Linked DNA regions of Lonchura striata. The protein of the gene in region 2 interacts with the protein of the main gene of each other region in a biochemical or structural test. Links are inferred from orthologs where the notes say so. Each region holds a gene or a part of one and is shown on either strand. Other genes may lie near its edges. The genes, in order: CTNND2 and PDZD2.

Region 1 (11,062 bases), on a different chromosome or scaffold from region 2:
CATCCATATCTAATGTCATGACATTTTTCACACAAACAAAAAGAAGCATGAAAAAGCTTTTGCCTTCTCATATGCCAAACAAGTAAAGCAACAGTCAACCTCTTGTCAAGAACAATTTTTTTTGAACAAGAAAATTTGACTGGGACAACAACAACCCACTTTTGAAGAAACCTGATTACTACCCAGCCAACGTGCCAGGACTTGATTAATTTATGCCATCTTCAGAAAAGTTACACTCTTCACTCACATAAATTTAAAAGAATGTATGCATTAAAAAAAAAACACCAACAAAAAAACCAAACTGAAACAAACAAAACCCCAAACAAACCCCACCCTAAACAAACAAACAAAAAAACAGAGCCACTTATAGCATTTAGGTGGTAAACTGTTAAGAAGAACTAAAAAGTTCACATGTTCTGTTTATAACATCCAGTGTATGTTTTCTTGCTTTTTAGACACCCAGCTTCAAAAATTGTAGAAGTCTCTTGGGAAGTAGGAACTAAAATACCTTCAAACTCATTGGAGCCTTGAGTTACCTCTCAGACCATCCTTGCCAGTCACCCTTCCAAACTGCTTACTGATTCTGACAGAAAGCACATGCTTTTACAGGATGAAGATTACATCCAATAGCCATCCTAGCAGAGCTAAAAGGTACAACAATTTTCTACCACCAGACTGAAACTTACTCCTAATTATTTTCCCAAGCATATTAGTAATTTGAATGAAACTACATAATAGAAATCTGAAATAAATGAACGTGTAAGGGTTAAGTCTTATTCAGTGGGTTTAAAACAATCAAAAATCCCGTCAGAATATATATTTACACTACCTGTTTATTTCCTTTGGCTCCCTTCAAAAATTCAGCCTTAAAGGGATATCTTGGCTACTTAATTGAATATCAACTGACAGTATTTGAATAGGAGAATGTGCCCATAGCTGAAAAAAGAAGATATTTATGTTACATTAAGCAGGGAAATTTAAGTTACACTATCAGTAAAAGTAATTATCTTGACCAAAAGGAAGTTGCTCTACTGTGAAGATTTTTGGAAGATGATGAAATCAATTGTAAATTTGACAAGGAAAAAAGAGTGGAAGTCAAAAACATTGAAAACATAGGAGGGGAAAATGCAAAATCCTCTTCTACAGAATGTTTTATGTAAAGCCCTTTTGGGTCTCAGATATTCTTGATTTTGGATGCTACAAGTTAGGCTCTACATATTTGTGGCTTCTTAAAATTAATTAAAACAAGTAGTAAATAAAAGTTCATTATATAGTAGAATTGATACAATTAACACAATAAACCAAAACAAAATGCAACATCAAACAGAGTTATTTTACATATTAATTTTAGAGAGTTAATACCATTTTGGCAGCTCTGAGAAGTACAAAGTTTAAAAGCTTCATTAGAAACCTGGAGGGTTTCTTGGGGGAGTTTACATTGGGTGGTTTTTTTGTTTGTTTTTGTTGGGTTTTTTTTCAGAAGCTTCAATTAAATAGGCAGCAACCAAAAGGACAAGACAATTTATTCTGTTCTATGCTTTATGTGTCTTGAAGTTATTGCTTATTACTATACTAGAGTTTTGTAAAGTAGAATAGGCAGATTAAGAGCCAGTAGAATGCACTAGAAGTTACCATGCCGAGAGCAATTTAAATAAATATTAAATGCTTTCTCTCATAGATAATGAAATGTTTCTCTCTTTCTTAGTTCTAGACTAAACTGACAGTTTATATAAGAAAAAAAAAAATGTACTGACATGGCAACTGGCTTACATAGAAACAAATAACATATTTCCTTTTCAATACTATTGAATTTAAATTTGTCCAGCATAACGCCAGACAATCTGGTCGGGCAATCTGCTTTTACAACCCATTTACTACATGAAGTTAGCACATCCCAAGGGGATAGAAGAAATTGTTTCAGTGTATCATGGTCCATTCAGATTTCTTTCCAGGTGAACCTAACTACCAAGAAGCCATTTAGCCAAAGGGTCATGTGTTTCTGCAGTGTGAGCAGAGGACTACTTACTTGTCCTGCATGGAGACTTCCTATTCATATGAGAGAAAATACTTTTCCTGATATATTTGCATTAAAAAAGGCCAAAAATGCAATGTTTTTCCTGGTATAATATCTTCTGTCATGACAAAAGCAATCTCTTCTTTAAGAGCAAATGTGGTTTAGCCCAATTTGAGAGTCATTCTGTCAATAAATAAATGTTCTAAATTTAAAACTGCTGCCTCCATTAAGGTATGTTGTTTACTTGTATCTTATTAATAATTCTACTACTAAACTTAATATTGTGCAGGCAAATAAGCATCCAAAATTCATCCTCTAATAGGATCTTAGTGAGAACTTCAAAGAGAAAAAACAATCACTTTCATTTTTGTTAAATCTCAGGTGTAATTTCAAATGTCAAACTCTTAATGATTTACAAGCACAGCCAATGGGCATCAAAACCACAGGTCCTTATTTAAGTGAAGGGTACTGTAATAATGTATTTTCCTTATCTTGCTGATACTCCTGAAAACAGCTGCTTTTGGGATAGAAACATATGCTTGAAATCCAACAAAAATATGCTGAAATTTCCACAAGTAATCAGCGTTAAAAATCATATCACACTGAACCATGAAATAGAAAATGTACCTGAAATTTAGTGCAAAATTTAACACTTATGAGTTCCACTGATTCTGTTATCTGCTCCATTTACATGCCAATCTACACCCCTACTAAAAAGGTTTATCTTAAAACCCTTAAAATAATCTGCTCCAGCACTTCTTTTATAGCACAAGTTGATTTTACATGTGTATTGAGCAATAATTGCTCAACACCAAATCATAGTCATTAAATTGCTACCATCCATCAGCAAAGGTAAATTATACAAATCAGAATTATGCAAAAATCTTTTTTCTAGTTGCTATTATTTCTATATTGTTCAACTCTCTATTAGATTTCATTATGTGAGGATGAAATTATCTTGGTGTTGTTATCAAAAAAACCCCACAGCAAAAGACAGTGGCTTGTGTCACTGATGAGCTATTTGTTGCTTTTAACATTTATTAAGGCACCTGAAAAACAGAACGCAAGAATTGTAGCTGGAATCCTCTCTCCCAAAAAAAGCATTTTTCTTACAATCCATGAAAAGTCATGCAACTGGCATTTGGAAATAAATACTTAGCTTCCTACTAGCAGCTTTGGGATGTATTTCCCTCAGTAGGTATACATAGCACAGCCTGCTACTCCTTTTTTTTCCAAGCCTCTCTTATATAAGACTGCAAAAAACATCTCTGAACAACGTGATCAAGATGTGATCTTCTCTTTTGGAACTACAGTATTCAACATAATCACATTCAACCCAGTCCCAAGCTATTAATCAACTTCTTACTAATGACGATGATCAATCTCAAGTTCTCTGCAGTTTTGCAGCTGATAGTCAGTCAAGGCTCCCAAAGGATCATGTCATTCACAGACCCAAATGAGACAGCGTCACCAGCCCTGCTCAGAAATTAGTCTTACAAGGCTATTTGATCATGATATAATGTTTTGCTTAAATATCACAGTCATTCCACGTGTTTGGGTTTAGTGTTGGGGCTCCTCCCCAGACAACCTGTGTAAAGGCAACAACAAAAGCCCTAAAGCCACTTGAGTCTCAGAGGCCCACAAGTAGGATATACAGCAGCTTTCTTTGGAGACCTGCCCTTAACCCCTTTATGCCATATCATTTTTACATTGCTAACTAGGCTGTCTGAAAAAGATAAGCCCAGCCTACAAAAGTTACATAATCAGTTGATTTTTTAAGACAGGATGAATATATCCTGAAGTACAGAATGATTAAAGATTTTTTTTCCCTCTCTTGATTTTGCAAAAGACACAACAGACTTACATAAACTCCATATAATTCTGGGTTGTCCTCCCTTTGTCTTGAGGTACCTAAGTCTTGACGTACCCTATGGAAAGGTTTGCTACAAAGCAAAGCTCAGGTTGACTCACTGTTTTCACCTTACATATAGGCTACCTATAAAGACTTTGAAAATAAACCCACCACGTGAAGTTTTTACCTTGTTATTGCCAATAAAAAGGCATGTTTTAAGGGACCCATATCAGTTACTACAGTCACTAAAGTTAAGAGCTGGGTGCTCAATAAAGGAGCCTCTTCATTTCTAAATATTTCTTCCAAGTTTTGGGTTTTTCTTTTCTGTAAAGCATAGGGTTAACTGTGACACCCTGAATCCAAACAAAGCACACACTAACAAAGTATAAGAAAATGTAACAGCACAAGATACTGTAGCACACTCTTCTGTGTATTCATCCTTCCAGTCCCTCCAGGGGAAATTTACCATGGTTTCCAAAATTATCCCTCTAACGTTTTTTTTTTTTCGTTTTTTTCAAAGATCCCTGGCCAGATGAATTTGTGTATTACATGTACTGCCTGTGCCACTGCACCTCCTTCCTCTGTGGTGACTTGATTCAGCTGAAGCTACGATTTGACCGATCGATGCAAGCACATTACACACCAGAATAAGAGTAAGGTAAGGGTAAAGGAAAGAAAAGCATCTCTCCTTTCAGCCATTAAATACAGATTAACGAAACATCACAGCGCACATCGCGGCTCCCCTCCCCACCCCCTCCGCCCGCTCCTCGAGCGCAGGATTTCGCAGACGGTGGCTTCAAAAGAGGAGCACACACCCCACACTCCCCTCCGCACACACACACACAGACACACGCACAGACACACAGACACTCGCAGCAGCGGGCGCAGGCTTCGCGCAGGGCCGGGCGCTGTCCCCGCCCGCGGGTCCCCGAGCCCCTTCATCTTTCTCCTCTTCCTCCTTCTTCTCCCTGGGCCCATGACTTCACCGCCGTAACGAGAACGTTAGTGCAGGGCGTCGGGAGGCACGGTATCGCCGATGCCCTACATAAGAAGCGACTAACGTAGCAAGAAAGGGAGGAAAGCGATGGAGGGGGAGGCCCGGGAGAAAGAGCCATGAGAAAATAACGCACTTTGTTACCTTTCGGCTGAGGGCATAAACACCGCTCCTTGCAGCCCAACCCAGCCCGGCTGCCTCGCCGAGGGGAGCAGCGCAGGACCCCGCACCAAGAAGAAATATCACGCAGGCGGGAAGGGTGTGTGGGGGGAGGGGGACGGACCTGGCACCATTACGGTGCCTGTCGTACTCACCGATCGGCGCCGATTCAGCCTGCTTGCTCCCAAACATATACCAAAACCCAACAGCAAATCCTCAGTCCGCCAAGCGAGAATGAAGCGGGGTAGCGGCGGGGGGGGCGGGGGGGGGCGTGCGACGGCTCCGGGCTTCACCGCAAGGTCCTGACCTTGCCCAGCTGCAGCATCTTCGGCTTGCCCCCCCCCAGGGCGTGCATGTGCGCCCGTGTGTCCCCGCGTCCGTGCGAGCGCGCCGATCCGGCTCCGAGGGACTCGGCCGCAGGACAGCTGCCCGCTGGCTGCCGGGGCGAGGAGGGCTCGGCATCCACCGCCCCGCCGCTGGGGCGAGGCGCGGGGCCGCTGCGGCCGCGGCGGTGGCGGCTGGGGCAGGCTGCGCAGCGGCGCCGTAGCGCAGCGCGCCGGGCGGGCACACCGGCCGCGGGATGTGGCCGAAGGAGACACAGCCGCCGCCGCAGCATCTGCCGCCGCCGCGCTCCCGCCCGCCCTGCCTCCCTCCCTCCCGCCTGCCTCCGCCCCTCCCGGCCCGTCCCCTCCCCAGCAGGAGCGCGCCCGCCGCGGCCGAGCAGCCGGCGCTGGGGAGAACAGAGGGGGGCGGGCGGCCCCGCTACCGATGAGGCGCTGCCGCCTGTGCCGGGCGGGGCTGAGGTAGGGCCGGGCCGGGCCGGGTCGCCCAGCCTCGCCCCAGAGGGGCGCGTCCCCGTGTTTCCTCAAAGCCCCGCGGCCGGGGCGGCTCTGATTTACTGTGGAAGGGGAGGCAGGGCGGAGGGCGCAGGTGTGGGAGCGCACTCTGGGCGGGGGTCGTAGATGGGGAGCAGCCCCTTGGCAGTAACCGCGGTTCCCGCTGTCATGGGTTGGGAACTTGAGGTCGACCTGCCAAAACGGTGACAACAACAGGGAAGCCAGAGCTCGTGCCCTGGCTCGCGCCTACCTCGGGTCTCTCTTCCCATGCTTGGGAAACCTAGGTGGAAATCCTACTGTGTTTTCAGAAATCTTATTGCGAACAAATAGGGTAAGGAATATGGAAGTCATGTTTTATTCCTGCGCACGCTTAACCCTTCGTTGAGAAACTTGTGTGGAATGCAATTGCAGCACTCACCTGAAAGTTACCACTCCATAGCTCCTTTCAACTCGCCGCTCGGAGTTTTGGTACCTAAACAAAACCACCCAATTTTTGGGGGTTGTTTCCCAGGGTAACCTCTGCTAATTCACTCTTGCAGCAGGCTGAGCCATCAGCACGGCACTGGGGACAACCGCGGCCGAGGCGCCCGGCCAGGGCCTACAGCCGGTCATTTATTGCCCGAAATCGCGGTCCCAGCACCTGCCCCGCAGAGAGGGATCCGCGTGTCCCTGGGCCATGGCCCGGCTCCCGCGGGACACGGCGTTCCCATCCCTCCTCCCCGCGCCCCTCCAGCCCCACACCGCCGGGTAAGTCATGCCGGGCCCCGCAGCGGTACCTGCGGCCGGGCTGAGCCGAGGCGACAGCGGAACGGCCCGACCGCCGCCACCGGGCTGCACGGCGACTCGCTGCTGCCACCTCTCGCTTGGCGTTCTCGTGGCTTCCCCAAACTGCTGCGAGCAGGAGATTCACCTGACCGGGGGTCCCACTTCTCACCGTTGGGTGGTTGCGGTGACTACCCCTCCCTTAATGTCACGGGAAGGCCGGAGGCTGCGTCTTCTCAGAGCCAGAATGCTTTATTTTAGGCCTGAGGTCACTTTTTGGAGGAACAAGGGGGGTTTATTACCATATGTTTTGGACCATATAGATGACTAGTATGTGTCCTTTCCCTGAGTTGGGTGAAGGTGGCCCACCCACCTGTGACAAAATCAGTAAGTTACAGCTGAGGGTGATTCAGCCTGGCAGCACCCCGCAATGCCAATCCAGATTTTGCCCAACTAATAGGACTTGTAAGAAGTGCACCTCTGGGCTCAAGTCTAGAGTAAACCCAAAACCTCATTGTCAGCTTGCAGTCTGGCATGTCTTGATACCTACTGAGTTGCAACTATAGAGGGGAGCTGGCTGGTGGCAAAACACAGTGGCCAATCCAGTCGTGACTCGATTAGAGAAGCTACCAACTAGCCCATTGTCCGAACTTTTGGTTGGACCAAAAGTTCATTTTTTCTGCAAAGTGCAAGCCCCTGGGTTTGTGATTCCCAGCCTGAGACAGACATGTAACTCTGAACTGAAAGTAGTGGATCACTCAGTAGTTGCCTGGAGTCACTGTCATACAGTTAATCTTCAAGATGTACTTGATAATTAAATTACTGGGTGCTACAGTATCATAGATATGCTATAGCATCATGTGATCCACCTTCTGCAGCCCAGGCTCTTTTTCAGAGCCGAAATGTCTTTCTGTCTATAAAGGTAAAGGAGATTGAAAGACTAGAAGTAGGCTGTGTCCTCCTTCCATTCCCCCTCAAATATTCCCATGTAATACGGACAGTTCATGGCCCTGGGGACTGTACACATCTGACCTAATTGTAGGATAAGCAGTGTGGGCTAGTGAAGAATGAACCTAAGACATCTGATTCTCCCCACACTGCAAAGGTTACCCAGCTGGCTATACTGACCTGACTAGTTAGTATGGAAGCTGAAATGTAGACTCTCTGTAGGGAAAGTGAGGCCTGGAGACAGAAGGGTTTTGCAAGAATCTGGGAAGTGTCTGAAATCGGTTTTTCTCTCACAAAGTTTCCTCCTTTCACATCACAGTTTTGCATGAGAGGGATTTCATCTCAAGATGTTGCAAGATTCAAAAAGCTTCTCCTTTTCCTGTCACTTTCCTCTCTGATTCTCCCTGCTGCATCACATTTCAATGTTCCCTGATACCAGGTGAGGTCAGAGAAGGGGTCAGGACCAAGCCCTGCTTATGGATGTGGAGAAACATAACAAGGGAATTAAATCAGGGTTCAATATTACTTTTTTACTGCTGTTGCTGCTGTCACGGAGGAAGAGTAAGGCAGATCAGTGAGGGTTAAGAATGTGGAAAGCAGTGAGATCCACTTCTGGAAGAGGTTGCATTCCACACAACTTCTGGAAGAGGTCTGCCAACTTTATTCTCAGACTAAACCTCTTCTGACAAGCCAAAAGCTTATGTAGGTGGAAGCTCTTCACTTTTTTGGTCAGTCCCAGACTTCTTGGATATAGACAGTCTGTTTTCTCAGGCTTCTCAGGTCTGTACCTAGAAGTGGGGTATCTGTCCTTATCTTTGGTTAACTTCCCTAAGTGTTTGTTCAAGTTGGAGATTTTTTATTTTTTTCCTTGAGAAAGATGGAAAAATAAAAGGAAATTATCATATCAAGGTGGATATTTTCTAGCATGGGAGCTGTAAAAGCATCTTTGCCATTTATATTTACCTGTTAGATTTACAAAGGTTCTTGAGCCTCCCATTTCTATTTGATCAAAGAAATGGCAAGTAAAAATTTTAGAAAACAGAAAAAAAGAAGTCGTAATATGAATAGAATTAAATGGAGTAGTAGAATTTTCAGATAATTAGTCCTCCAAATGACTGTATTATGAAAAACAATAGCAGTAACCAATTTTTCAAGTTTAGGCTCAAGGGTTCCATCTTGGAATACCTGGTTACCAGTGATAATTTTCCCATCCTGCTAACTAAAAATATGTATTTTTCTTTGTGAAAAAGTTAATCATGAGGTAAAGGATGAAGCTAGCAGTGGAGGTACCCAAGGAGAAGTCCATTAGTCAACAGTTGCGTCAACAGTCAGGACGAGTCCTCTAAAATATGGGATATCTATATACTAGTTGTGTCTGCATGTTCTGTCTTAAATCATATTTAATTTTTGTTTGATTCTTCTTGGAATGGAGTTTGGAAGCTTGAATTTTTGGACAGAAAGGAAAACATTTCTTTTCTGTTTTGACTTTCTTTAAGATTATGTTTGAATCTAAATGTATAATTCATGTGAAGATTGTTGAGGTCCTCTGTCATGGACCAGGTCCAACAACTTCTTTTTTCATGCTGAAGTCAATGGGAACTTTCCATACTAAAATGTAACTGAAGTGAAACTAGGTATATGTAATAGTAGCATGTTTCAGACAATCTTTAGGCAATCTAGAATAAAGTTGGGAAAACTTGGTTTTGCTCTTTTTAATAAACTGAAAAATCAGTCAAGTATAAATAGTTTTTTAGTTTACAGCTATATTTCAAAGAAGTTCTTGCAATTACTGTCTTATCCCTTTCTAAGAATTATTTCAAGGTGAAATTATTAAAAAAATGTTGACAACATCCACTGAAATACATTTCAGATAGGAAAGAACATGTTTCTTGAGTCACACAGTATGGTATCTTAATGAAACTAAGCTGGTAATGAATTAAAATAATTGGTCCAAATTTCTTCTCCTTTATTTGACTTTGATGTTATCTTTAAAAAGTCAAATCGTCCTTGAATGATAGTAATACTATGTGTATTTTCCATTTCTCCTAAATTGTTGCAAAATATTGTATAACAACAAAGTACCTGTAAATCCTGGGATGAAGATGATTTTCTATGCCACAATGATGACATGAAAAGAGAAGGTTTGCATGATTGTATTTGCAAAGCTTGCATTCTTATCTCATGAAAATATTTTTTAAACAGAAGTCTCCTAAATAAATAGAAGGTATTTTCAATTCTGAGGCACAGCTGGCTTTGACTCAGTCTGATTATGAGTAAATTATTGTTGAAGTGCTAAGCTTGACTGGCAATAGGAAGATACAATTGAATTTGTAGTACCTGCAGATTTAGTAAATGAATGTGTACTTGCATTGGAGAGTTGATTTTTTATGTACTGAAGACAATTCACAGCCTTAGGACCCAACTGAGATTTTCTTATTCCCAGCTTCATCCATTGATGACCAAATAGGCAGTAATGAACAGAATCTCTCTGAAACAGCTGTATTAAAATACTTTTGGACCTACCTTACTTAAAAAAATAATTGTAAAAATTATTGTCTAGTGAATAGCTGCCATTGGTTTCCTAAACAATTTAGCATTTTGAGCATGTCAGATTTTCACATGAAATTATACAAAAGGTAAAAATTTCAATTTAATTCAATGGTGTGTGTCAGTCACGATCAATCAGAGCTCCTATTCAAGGTATAGTGAGAGAACTACATTTTTTAATAACAAAACTTCATTTAAGTGTTCCAGATTAAGGAGCTACTTGGAGTTTTACTTAACTTCACAGAAAAACTTAGTGAAAATATTAAGAAGGTAACAGACAATGTAAGTGCTTTTTCCTATCAATTAAAGAGATCTGATTGAAAGAAGACTTGAGGTTTTCAGTTTGTGGAGTTTTTGGGGGTTTTTTGGGTTTGTTTTTTTTTTTGGGGGGGTGGGTTTGTTTTTGTTTTGGGGTTTTTTTTTATATTGTTATTTGGAAGATTGAAGGCCAGAAGTTAAAATGACAATTAATGTAGTGTAAAAATTGTTCTTTTCAGCATCCAGTAAAACAAAGTTTACTGTAGTAAATTCATATACCCTGTATTAATAGGTTATATAAAGAGCGGGTCTGAAATAATTTGTAAACATTAACCCCATGAAAGAAAGTAATTTCATTCTGCCTTTATGTTGCCTGCTATTACTAGCAGTACAATGTCAACTTGGCTGCAAATTGTAATCTATAGATTGTATATCAAGATGTTTATCTCTATTATTGTCAACTGAAATGACAAGCAATTCCCAGGATACATCCTTTAATATATTTAGAGCTATAAAAGCATTAGGATTAAGGTATAACACTTACAAAACTATACTGTATGTTGGATTATTTTTTCTCTTTTCTGTATTTGTATATTGAATAAGTCCATCTCAACAAAAAAGACCATCCTGCAAAAAGTCATGCAGAAATTTTTGACACAGATTCAGAAAATTATGCTGTTTGAATAAAAGTT
Region 2 (10,209 bases):
ACCCAGCAGAGACCAGGACTGTTAATTAATGCCACAGCAGGCAGCACAAAGTGCTGTGCACATTTTGAGACCTGTAATTTCGTTGGACATTTTGAATTGTCCTCTGTAATCAGCTGCTAGCACTTACAGAGAGGCAGGACAGTGCTTAGAATGTCCATATATCACACAACTACTAATGGCATTGATGTGTGAGGAGCAGCAGGACTTTACCTTCATAGTTCCAGCTATCCTGGAGGCATGAACATAAAATGTGCAGTAGCAGCAAGCACTCATGAAAGACCTTGGCTCTACTGGAAACCCTCAGCTTCAGCTAAAGTAAAATATTTGCCTTTAGTAGTGGCACTTGAAGTTCCCTCTCCATTGCAGACCTGATTCTTAAAGGTCTTTCTCAACATCTCTGAAAGGAAACTGAATTCCCTGAAATGTGGCATGCTTTACCTATTCTGAGGAGGAGTCTCAGCAACTTCCCCAGGACACTGACTGAAGAGGAGAGACTAAAAAAGCACTGTGCAAAGGTATGGCTGACAAAATATTTCTCTCTTTGGATTTTTTGGAAGCAACTCCAGTTTGTGGGTTAAAAAGAAGCCAGCCACTTCTCTGACTGTATTCCCACATATGGCAATGTTTGGTGATTTCTGGCAACAAGAAAGATGGTATCTTGAAGGAGTGGTTGGGTTTTCTCAATGACAAAATTATAATACTAATTCATGTTTCTACCACACTGTCAACACTGGTGATGTATCTTACTCTGCTTTTTACAAAAATGAATTTGAAAATCTACTTAGCACTGATTTTAAAGATTAAATGTATATGGTAGCTGTGTCCAAGCACTGCAGCTATGCTTGATGAAATTCATAATCAAATATTTCAAACTGAATTATATTAATGAAAAAATTTTTTTTTTGCAGTGCTCCAAGGACTTTCTCAAAGAAGCCCCACTCAGTTATGTTCAAGAAATGAAGGATCCATCTGTTATCTCTAGAAATACTAACAGCATCCCTTCAGCAAGTGAGTAATAGCCCAAAATGAGTAGAGTTGATCCAAAATACATAGGAAGTTGTTGTCGGGGGGAACATAACCCATGCATTTTGCAGATACAGTTGTATAGACAGAAGATAGATAAATAAATATGCAGAGTTTTGACTAACCTTTGTTCAATATTCCAATACAGCTAATTTCCCTGCAATTGTGTTTGATAGACACACAATTTGCTAACTCTAAAGAGAGCAATAATTTTCCCTCAATCACTAACATCACCAAAAATGACACCACCTACATTATTCCTCTCTAATGTAATAATACCCTGTTAAGCAAAAAGCTTTGATGACTTTATTACTCCATAGTGTTTTTCTAAATGAAAAGGAAAAAAAAATAAAATAAACAAGTTCAGCAATAATCAACCCATCTCTGCTGTTTACATGAAAATCATGTGGAATTTAAATAAATAACCTTTCTTTAAAGAAGTCATATTCAGCTTTCTTAGCAAGGAGAGAGAGATGAGTGGTACTCACAGCTGGCTCCTCCAGGAAGTGTTTTGCTGCTCTTACTGTGTCTGATCCCATCACCGTTCTGAGACATGAGGACCTGTGGGCCCACCAAGCAAGGCCAAAACAGCCCTGTCTGTCCAGGGCTGCCCAATCTGTTCCAGCTCCTCTGACCTTCCCCTGCATCCTCTAGAGGCTGACCACATCCATAGGATAGCAGAAAGGACTGTGTACCCTCACCTCTTCTCTCTTGTTTTCTGGTGCATTAGTTTAGCCCCTTGGAACAGGGAGGATTTGGATGGCAGGCTGGAACTAAAGCTGAGGTTACATGAAGCCCAGGGTATGTGAGAACACTTCTGCAAACCCTACTGCAACGTGGAGCTGTGAGACCCCCATGCCAATTCCTCCATTGTAAAGGGAATAAATCAGAAGATTTTCCATAGCATCAGTTTGAAAAATTTCTTCATCAGGCAAGATAGGGCTGCCCTGGAACACTGGGCAGGCGTGGAATAAACACACAAGCAGTGATTTTGCTTGCTGAGTCTAACCTGGTGCTGCAGGAACTAAGGCAATATTTTACCTTCACTGATCATGTCTAGGCCCCACTAAGTAAATCACACCACAAATCAGAGCACCCACAGCCCCTTGTATCGACCTGGAAATGTTTCTCACTCAGCCAGGGAATAATTAGGCAGTCAGAAATTGAGTCAGTACTAGTGTGCTGTCAGACAATGTACTAGTCAGTGTGCTGTCCTGCCCCAATAACTCTTTGAAAAACTAAGGGGAAAAGGGCTTTGCTACTTCCACCATAGCAGCAATATGGAATTCTCTAGGAAAGCTTATTCTTGGAAGCAGTCTTCCCAGAAGGCAAGTTGATGTTGCCTTTCATACTATTATAAAGCTAGACAGAATTATTCTGAGCACCCCAGTGGAGAAAGATTCTCAAAGCATCCTCAAGCACTCCAGATGCACAATGTGGGAACATGGGGTTGGAGCTGCCAGCCAGCTCCCACATAGGAAAAAGCCAGCTCTCCAAACTGGGAGCATCCTCAAGGTCCCAAACTGCCATCCATCAACATCACCTTTGTCAAATAGCAGTTAGACAAATAGTCAAATAGTAAGTTACATAAGGATGCTGTGGATGTTGAAAATAAAATGGGTTTTGACTACAAAATGTCCTAAATTTTGGCCTAAATTGGATGTTGAATATTCTAAAACAAGATTTTAAAAACACTGGCTCCACACCACTAAAACTGTGTCTTTGTAATGGCCCAAAAAAGTAAGGAAAATGGAGCACTTAGTTCCCATTAGCTGCAGTCACAGCTTGCCAGTTTAATAACAGAACTTTCCAAAAGGAACAAGCCCCATATTAAGCCCTCAGAGATAAGCCAAAAGAGAACAGATAGCCCAAGATTCTTGGCTTCATTGGCTATTAACTCTCATTTTGCATTTTTAATAAGATAACATTATTGCTGCCCACTGCAAGCAATTCCCTTGTATTTAGAAAAAGTGACATCTGACAAAGGGGAAACAGCAAACTAAGTGCCTTTTGCCATAAACACTCTCAAATTTGGAGGTGCCACTGACCGATACTGCCACAGTACCAGTATGTATACACTTACTGAATTACAAGCTAGGAATTACAGATCATACCTGTAAAACCACAGAAGGTTGAGCTGCCCAACACCCACAGATTGAGGAGTCACTGCTTTTATTCTGCCACATGTCAGAACTGGGAGTGATGGTCAGCCCAAACTCCTGCCACATTCAAGTGAAGTTATCCCGTTGTTGGGGTCACTTCACTAGGATTTGGTTTCCAAAGGTGTCCACCCCCAAAATAAATTCCCTTTTGGCAAGAGGGAGAGAATTTCATGCCCTCAGGTACATTGTAACCTCAGGAATGAATGAATGTTTACATCCTCATCTACAGCAGAGAAAGGGTTTTGCCTTTGCAAAGGGTAATGTGAGAAAGTGTACCAGCCCACAAAGAGCAATACTGGGAAAGTAACTGAATTTACAGAATAGCTGAATTTAAAAAAAAAAATACCACAAGAACAATCTGTATCATTACAAGAATCCTAATTTTTTTATTTGAACTCTTAAAGATTTCAAGTTTTCTGGATCAGGAGACATCAGAAGAGAGCAAATGTATTAAAGTCAAAGGGAATTTATTAAAATGAAGTTGTTCCAAACTGGAAAATAAAAAATGTCTTGCTTCGATAAAGTCTCAGACAACACTTGGCTGTCAAATACACTTCTCTCAACCAAAATAATTCAACAAAAAATATGAGCACCTGTAAAAATATCTTCCGGTGCTGCTGCATCTGTGTTCATTTTTGCTTAAGAAAACCATTTTATAAAAAACCAGGAAGGCTCCTATTTTAGTAAAGCCCCTCTGGCAATTATGATGTGTAATTTTTTGACCCAATGACTCCTGAAATGTTTTCAGCGGAAGTGTTAGTAGCACACGCAGGCTAATTATCAATTTGCTTTTCTTACTTATTTTCTACAAGGCCTTAAAAATGAATCCATGACTCTCTCTTGCAAAGGTCAAAACCTCTGTTCCTGGACTTCCAACAGTATCAACTGTGATTTGCACCATGTGGCACCAGAGGCAGCTGCTGCTGGTGGCTCTGCCACCCTTACCTTGCTCCAGTGACATCCACACCGACCATCAGCTGCCCGTTCAGAGAAAGGATCTCGTCTTTCAGGCGCACTCTCCCACACTTCCCAGCCGGACTGTTCTTCTTCAAGTCTGTCACCCAGATGCACCCAACATCGAGCACAGGCCCCTTATGCGCCTTCCTCTTCTTTCCTCCCCGGCGCTTCTCCCCATAGTCCCCCAGAGCAGGGATATTCCCAAAGCTCAAGCCGAGGACTTCATTTTTCCGCATCTCTTGGGCCAGGTACATGGTGCAGATCTCCGTATCCAAAGCCCCACAGCTCCCTGGCTGCAGGTTGCTCTCGTCCACAGAGAAGTTGAGCTGGATGTACTCGCTCAGTTTCTGGACGGCCGAGCGGCAGAGCTGCTGCTCGGCTCCCTCGGCCCCCTCCCGCCAGCTGTTCTGCAGCCACTGGCACAGGAGGGGCAGGAAGAACCCCGCGTTGTCCTGTGTGATGGGCATCGCTGTCCCTGGGCATCCCCTCACGGCCTCAGCCCCGGCCCCAGTCGAACATGCTGGAGAGGGACTGCACGTCCAAAGCAAGCTCCATGTAGTCTCACGGAGATTTTCTGGGAGGTTCCAGCTGTCCAGGAACAAAGTCAAGGAATGTTTGGTGTCACGGCGCTACAGCCGTCCCTACGAACAGGCTGGTGGGACAAGTTTGCCAGCGTCTGTGGCCGTGCAGGTCTGCCTGCCGCCGGTGTCCCCGCTCGGTCGGGTACCAAGCGTCCTTCCCACCACGAGCCCCACGGCGTCTCGTCCTGCGAGGGCAAAACAGCGCGGTTAGAAGGGCCCGCTCTCCTCCTGCCATTTACCACTTGAGGGCACCAGCTGCTCTCCTCAGCAAGGGAATAAAAGGTCACCATTAGCTCCTGACCTTGGCGGTGAAAGGCGGATTACAGAGCCCAGGGGATGCTCCTGCCGCAGCTCCGGGGCTCTGACCCGAGCGGGGATGACACTCCTGCTCAAAGGGCCGCTGGAGGGGCACCGGCCTCACCGGCGACTGAAGCTGACAGCCCTGCCGTCCTGACAGCCCCCCTTCCTGACAGCCCTGCCGTCCATGCCGGTGATTTTGGGCTGGATAGGCTCAAACCGGTCTCTTCCCGGACTTAGCTCCCCGCCAAGCTGCACGAGAGATGGGCAGCAGCAAACAGAAAGGCAAATATGCCAGTGGGGTCCCTCTCTTCATGGCAACGGTGGTGCACAGCCACCTTGTGGGTAAGGCGTCTAAGAGAAGTGACTATCCAGCTTCCCGGGAAAGGAGTACGGCAGGTGAATCACCCAACTGCCTGCAGTTTGGAGGGAGGCACACAGACAGCCAGGAGTCAGTGGGAGGCAGAGGTTAGCAAGCAACAGGATGAATCAGGGTTTTTTTTGCCAGGATCATTAGGATCTATGAAACAAGAAAAAACCCTGACCCGAGTCAGGTCTGGTTGACCGGATTCTTTCAGGGCTTTATTTTCTAGCAGTGGATGCTGCTCAGTGAGCTGTGCACCAGGAAAACTGAAGAAAGCAGCAGCTTCGAGCTTGCAGTCTGCAGGTGTGCTCTTGCAGATGTGCATAAAGGCTTGTGTTAGGTAGAAAAGCTGTAGGAAGAGTTTATAACCCCAAAAGAATTAGTGTAGAGGGAGGCTCTTGCAAAATGCTGCTGCCCAAAACCTCTAAGTTCTGCCACCTCCTTGGCTGTGGGGCAAAACTTAGATGGACAGAAGTGACCCAAGAAAGCTTAGGGTCAACAACAAGCTCAAAGGTCAAGGACAAAGCTCAAGGACAACAACAGCTCAGGGCCACGTGATGCTTCTACAGGAGGACACCAGCATCTTAACCAAGAGGCTGATGTTACACCAGTGGCTCAACAGGGATAGACATCAGCTTGGGAAAGGAGGAACTGGCCCCTTGCTCAGAAAGAGAGACTTCTGAGATAGGCTCAGGGCAGGAAAAAAAGGGAAGAAAAGGGGAAGAATAAAGACAGAAACTGCCTAGGCACATGTCTAAAACAAGTGGTGATAATACAGACATGGACTGATCAGGAGGTAAGGATAAATCCTCTGAGCATTTTAGATACCTAATGCAACACTGGTGAGTATGTGGGATTTTTTAACACAGAATTTAAGTCTTATTTAAGATCTCATATTTAAGACAAAAGCAATGATTTAACTGACATAATTGGAACTTACTGTTGTAAGACCTATATCTGGAATATTGATCTAAAAATGCATAGCTTATATGTGGACCAACAAAGAAAAAGTAGAGGCAGAACCTCTTGGCACACTGAGAATGATGTGTATATTTGCTCTGAGGTCCAGAAGACAGGAGGAGTAAGAACTGCTAAATTATCTAGTTAATAATAAAGGCAGAAAGCACAAAACAAAATACACGGGAGGGCACAACAAACCCTAAACCAAGAACCTGATAACAGCTGACTCAATGATAATGGGAAAGTAGAAGCATGAGATAACTGCTAGAAAAAGAAAGTAGTAGGAGATAGAAAGTCCTGGTGCCTTCAGAGCAAAATTCTCACATAATGGATGGGGTCAAGTAATCAGCAAGGAAGTGCCTCCAGAGAGAGATGTGTAGGGGATAAGAAGGTGGAAAGAAACTCCTGTAAGAATGCCTGTAAAATCAAGGGATTGCGAACAGCAAAATAGAAATGACTGGCTTCAGTACATTTAAAAAAAAAAAAAAAAAAAAAAAAAAGAAACTGCTAGGAGAGAATTCATGGAGAAAAGTTTAAAGAAAAAAGAAATCAAGGTGAGCTATAGTTTCTTGAAGAAACAATATTTTTTGCTTAAAAGGCACAGGCACAATAGCATCTCAATGAAGAAGGATCAGAAGATTTGGCAGCATCACGAGCTTTTTATTTTCCCCAAAGACAAGAAGAAAGAACACTAAAAGGTTACTGAGCACAAGTTTAAAAAAACCAGCATGAACACATAGGCAAAAATAATAGAAACATCAGGGTATAAAAATGAAATGAAACTTGCAGAAGATAAAAAAAAGTTACTCTTTATATGCATATTAATACGAAGAAAAACATTGCTCAGAGAGAAAGTTATTGAAAAATGACACAAAAAGAGGCAACACTGGTTTGAGTTTTGCTTTAGTCCTTTTTAAAATTACCAACTATGCATGGGGGATTAGTACACAGTGTGACACAATATCAGTACAGAGGCATACTACCCTCTTCTCTGCCTGTTCCAGAGTAAGAGATTAGTTCAATTCAGGCATTTCCAGTCCAGCAGAGTTGGGAAAACCACCATTTAAATCTCCTACAAACCAGCTAAAACCATCTCAGATGGCTGGTCACTTGTGAGAATTCAAACAGGTAAGGTGTCAGAATTAAGGACAACAGCAAATGCAGTGGCTGTCTTCAAGGGTAGAAGGAAAAGCAGCAGAAAAATGTGATATCAGTCAATCTAGCATCAATCATCCAAAAAACTCCAAATCAAACAGAGAAATAGTTTGCATTTATGGGGAAGAGAACAAAAATATAAGCAGCAGCAGACACAGAAGAGGCAAGAATAAAATCATGTGAAATCAACTTAATTTCTTTTCATAATGGAAAGTTGTCAAATATAGTTCATCTGGGCTTCATTATAGCTTTTGTCACTGTCTCAAACAACTTTCTCATAAATATACTTGGGAAATATGATTAAATGAGACTACTGTAAGTCCATACCCAGGGAGTAGTTATTAATAACATTCTGTGAAACATACGGACACTGAAAGTGGAGCTCTGCTGGATCTGTATAGTCTAGTTTTGCTCAGCACACTCATTAGTGACCTGGACAATGAAAGCAAATACACATATTAAATCTGCAGATTACACAAAGATGGGCATGTCTGCAGACACACTGAAGGACAGGATTAGCATCTAAAATATTTTGGCAAAAATCAGAAAAACATACTCTAAAAATTAGGGTAAAGTTCATCAAGGACAAATGCAGAACACTGCAAAAGAAATATCTCACTTAGAAGGGACTGGCTATGTGGCAAATCTTTGGCAAGAGATGCAGCATTTTCACAGAATCACAGAATGGATTGGGTTAAGAAGGAATGTGGTCCCAAACCCCCCTGCCATGGATAGGGACACATTGCTCCAGACAAGAGCCCCACCCAGCTTGGTTTTGAACATTTTCAAAGGTTTATAGGGAATCATTCTTGTCAATATCCTGCTGCTGGAGAAAAAAAAGGGTCATTGTCTCAGGATGTGTCAGCAGGGACAAAGGTAACAAGGCATATGAAGTATTTCTGTTGCCTCACACATGGCTTGGAAGGTCTCAGCAGCAAAACTTCCCAATTGGAAGAGTTCTGACATGACTTGGCAGTCTTGAAAGTATGAATTACTAGGAAATATTCAAAAAGTTAGGGCCTGCTAAAAAGGAGAAAGTATTGCAGGTAGGATTTGAGAGCACAAGTTAAAGGTCCTCATGTACTTTAAAATGACCCACAGTGACCATGAGGAGAAAAGTAGTCTGTTCCTCTTGTCTGTGATGGAGTAATGCATGTGAATCACATGCAGGGAGTGGTTATGTAACACTCAGAAGGATGAAAAGTATGAAGACACTGGGGAACACTATCACAGCTGCTGGAGTCTCCAACACTCACGGTGGTCTCTGCAGAAGGTCAGAGATCTGCCATGAACAATGATTGGAGCCAATATCTCTTGGGTTGTGGGAGACATTAAGATTTCTCCATTTCAATCCCTCTTACTTTTACTTCCTTCAACATAATTTACCGTCCTAGTGAGAGTACAGTAAGAGGTCATTTAATGGATAACATCTGTGAGTTATGACAATGACACCCTTTGCTTTAACAGCAAACTTTGGTACAACTTTCAGTGACCATATACAGTTCAAAACCATTCAAGCTCTAGAGAAGATGGGACCAGATCATACTTTGAGGCTCTTTTTGCCTAATAATTTAAAGTTTTGTTCTCAGCTGTTTATCAGGTTTGACATTGGGTAGACATATTATGGACTGTCTTTTGCCAGCTATTCCCAGATCAAAAGCACTGCCAGGGTCCCTGGAGATCTCAGGGCTCCTTGAAAGCAGCTCAGAGTTGTAGCTCAAATCTCCAAATCTCGTCTGCATTGGCAAAGGGCACTGATGATGACTTCAGCTTCAATCCTGCAGTTAGCTGTCAGAGCGTTCAAAGGCATCTGCATTCCACGCAAAACTCATCCATCATTCATTTAGCAGCATTGCTGGAGGGCTCTCCCCCTCCATGCACACACATCCCTCCAGAGATAGAGGATGACGGCCCCCTCCACGCTGCCAGAGGCAGGCAACCTTCAAAACCCCATTCCTTCTCCCCACAGGAAAAGCTGTGGGCATCAATACACTGCGGGTTGCTTGTCTACGCCCCTGAGTTCACTGCAGAGCCATGGCAGACACTTAAATTAATCATGTAGATAATTATACGGTACTTTCAAGGGATTTGATATTCTCAAACAAAACCTTCTGGCTTTGGAAAAATTACTCCAGACAAGCATAAATAGGAAATACTCCTTCCAGATGTAGCAGACAGCACAGCACTGAGCTGAACAGCTTTGTGTTGGTGAGAAGAGTGGCTCGGGTGTCTAGTGCAAATGGAAGCAAAAAATAGAAAGGTGGTAAGCTGTTCATCAAGGGAAAAAATAGACCTGCCTGATAAAAATGGAAACCTCAATGCTAGGAAGAAATTTATTTTTACTCTTGACTTCCACAAAATAGACTCAAGACCCATTTCAGAAAATTTCATGGAGTCACCGCCACCTTGCTTACTTGCTGTAGGTCTGACAGATCTGCCAGACCACCCCACCTGCCTTGAATTGAGTACAGACCTATACACAAAATACTCTAGATTATGCCCAAACTGGAATTGCCTAGACTTGTCTGGAGTAAAACAAGCCAGAACTGGGAATGGGAAGCCCCCTGGGCCCAAAGTCCTGTCTTGTGAAAAGGAGTCCCTGTTCCTGGGGACAACTTTCTACCCAAGAGATTTTGTCCTGGTTGCTCTGAATCCCTCTGAGGCTACTGATTCACACTCTCTGGTAATTAAATCTCCTATCTTACCTACA

The links.
Region 1: the proteins of PDZD2 (region 2) and CTNND2 form a complex in vitro, tested with the Homo sapiens proteins (2 studies listed by BioGRID and IntAct, with this or other methods). The link is inferred for Lonchura striata from reciprocal best matches to the Homo sapiens genes PDZD2 and CTNND2.

Annotation. Positions count from the first base shown.
Region 1 is NC_134603.1:72,727,228-72,738,289, forward strand, and holds the start of CTNND2 (catenin delta-2), read right to left. Parts: upstream 5,305-11,062; 5' UTR 5,212-5,304; coding exon 5,175-5,211; intron 5,063-5,174; exon of another isoform or gene 5,005-5,062; intron 937-5,004; exon of another isoform or gene 830-936; intron 1-829. UniProt on the Homo sapiens protein: Has a critical role in neuronal development, particularly in the formation and/or maintenance of dendritic spines and synapses. Involved in the regulation of Wnt signaling.
Region 2 is NC_134642.1:39,145,664-39,155,872, reverse strand, and holds the start of PDZD2 (PDZ domain-containing protein 2), read right to left. Parts: upstream 4,758-10,209; 5' UTR 4,610-4,757; coding exon 4,131-4,609; intron 1-4,130.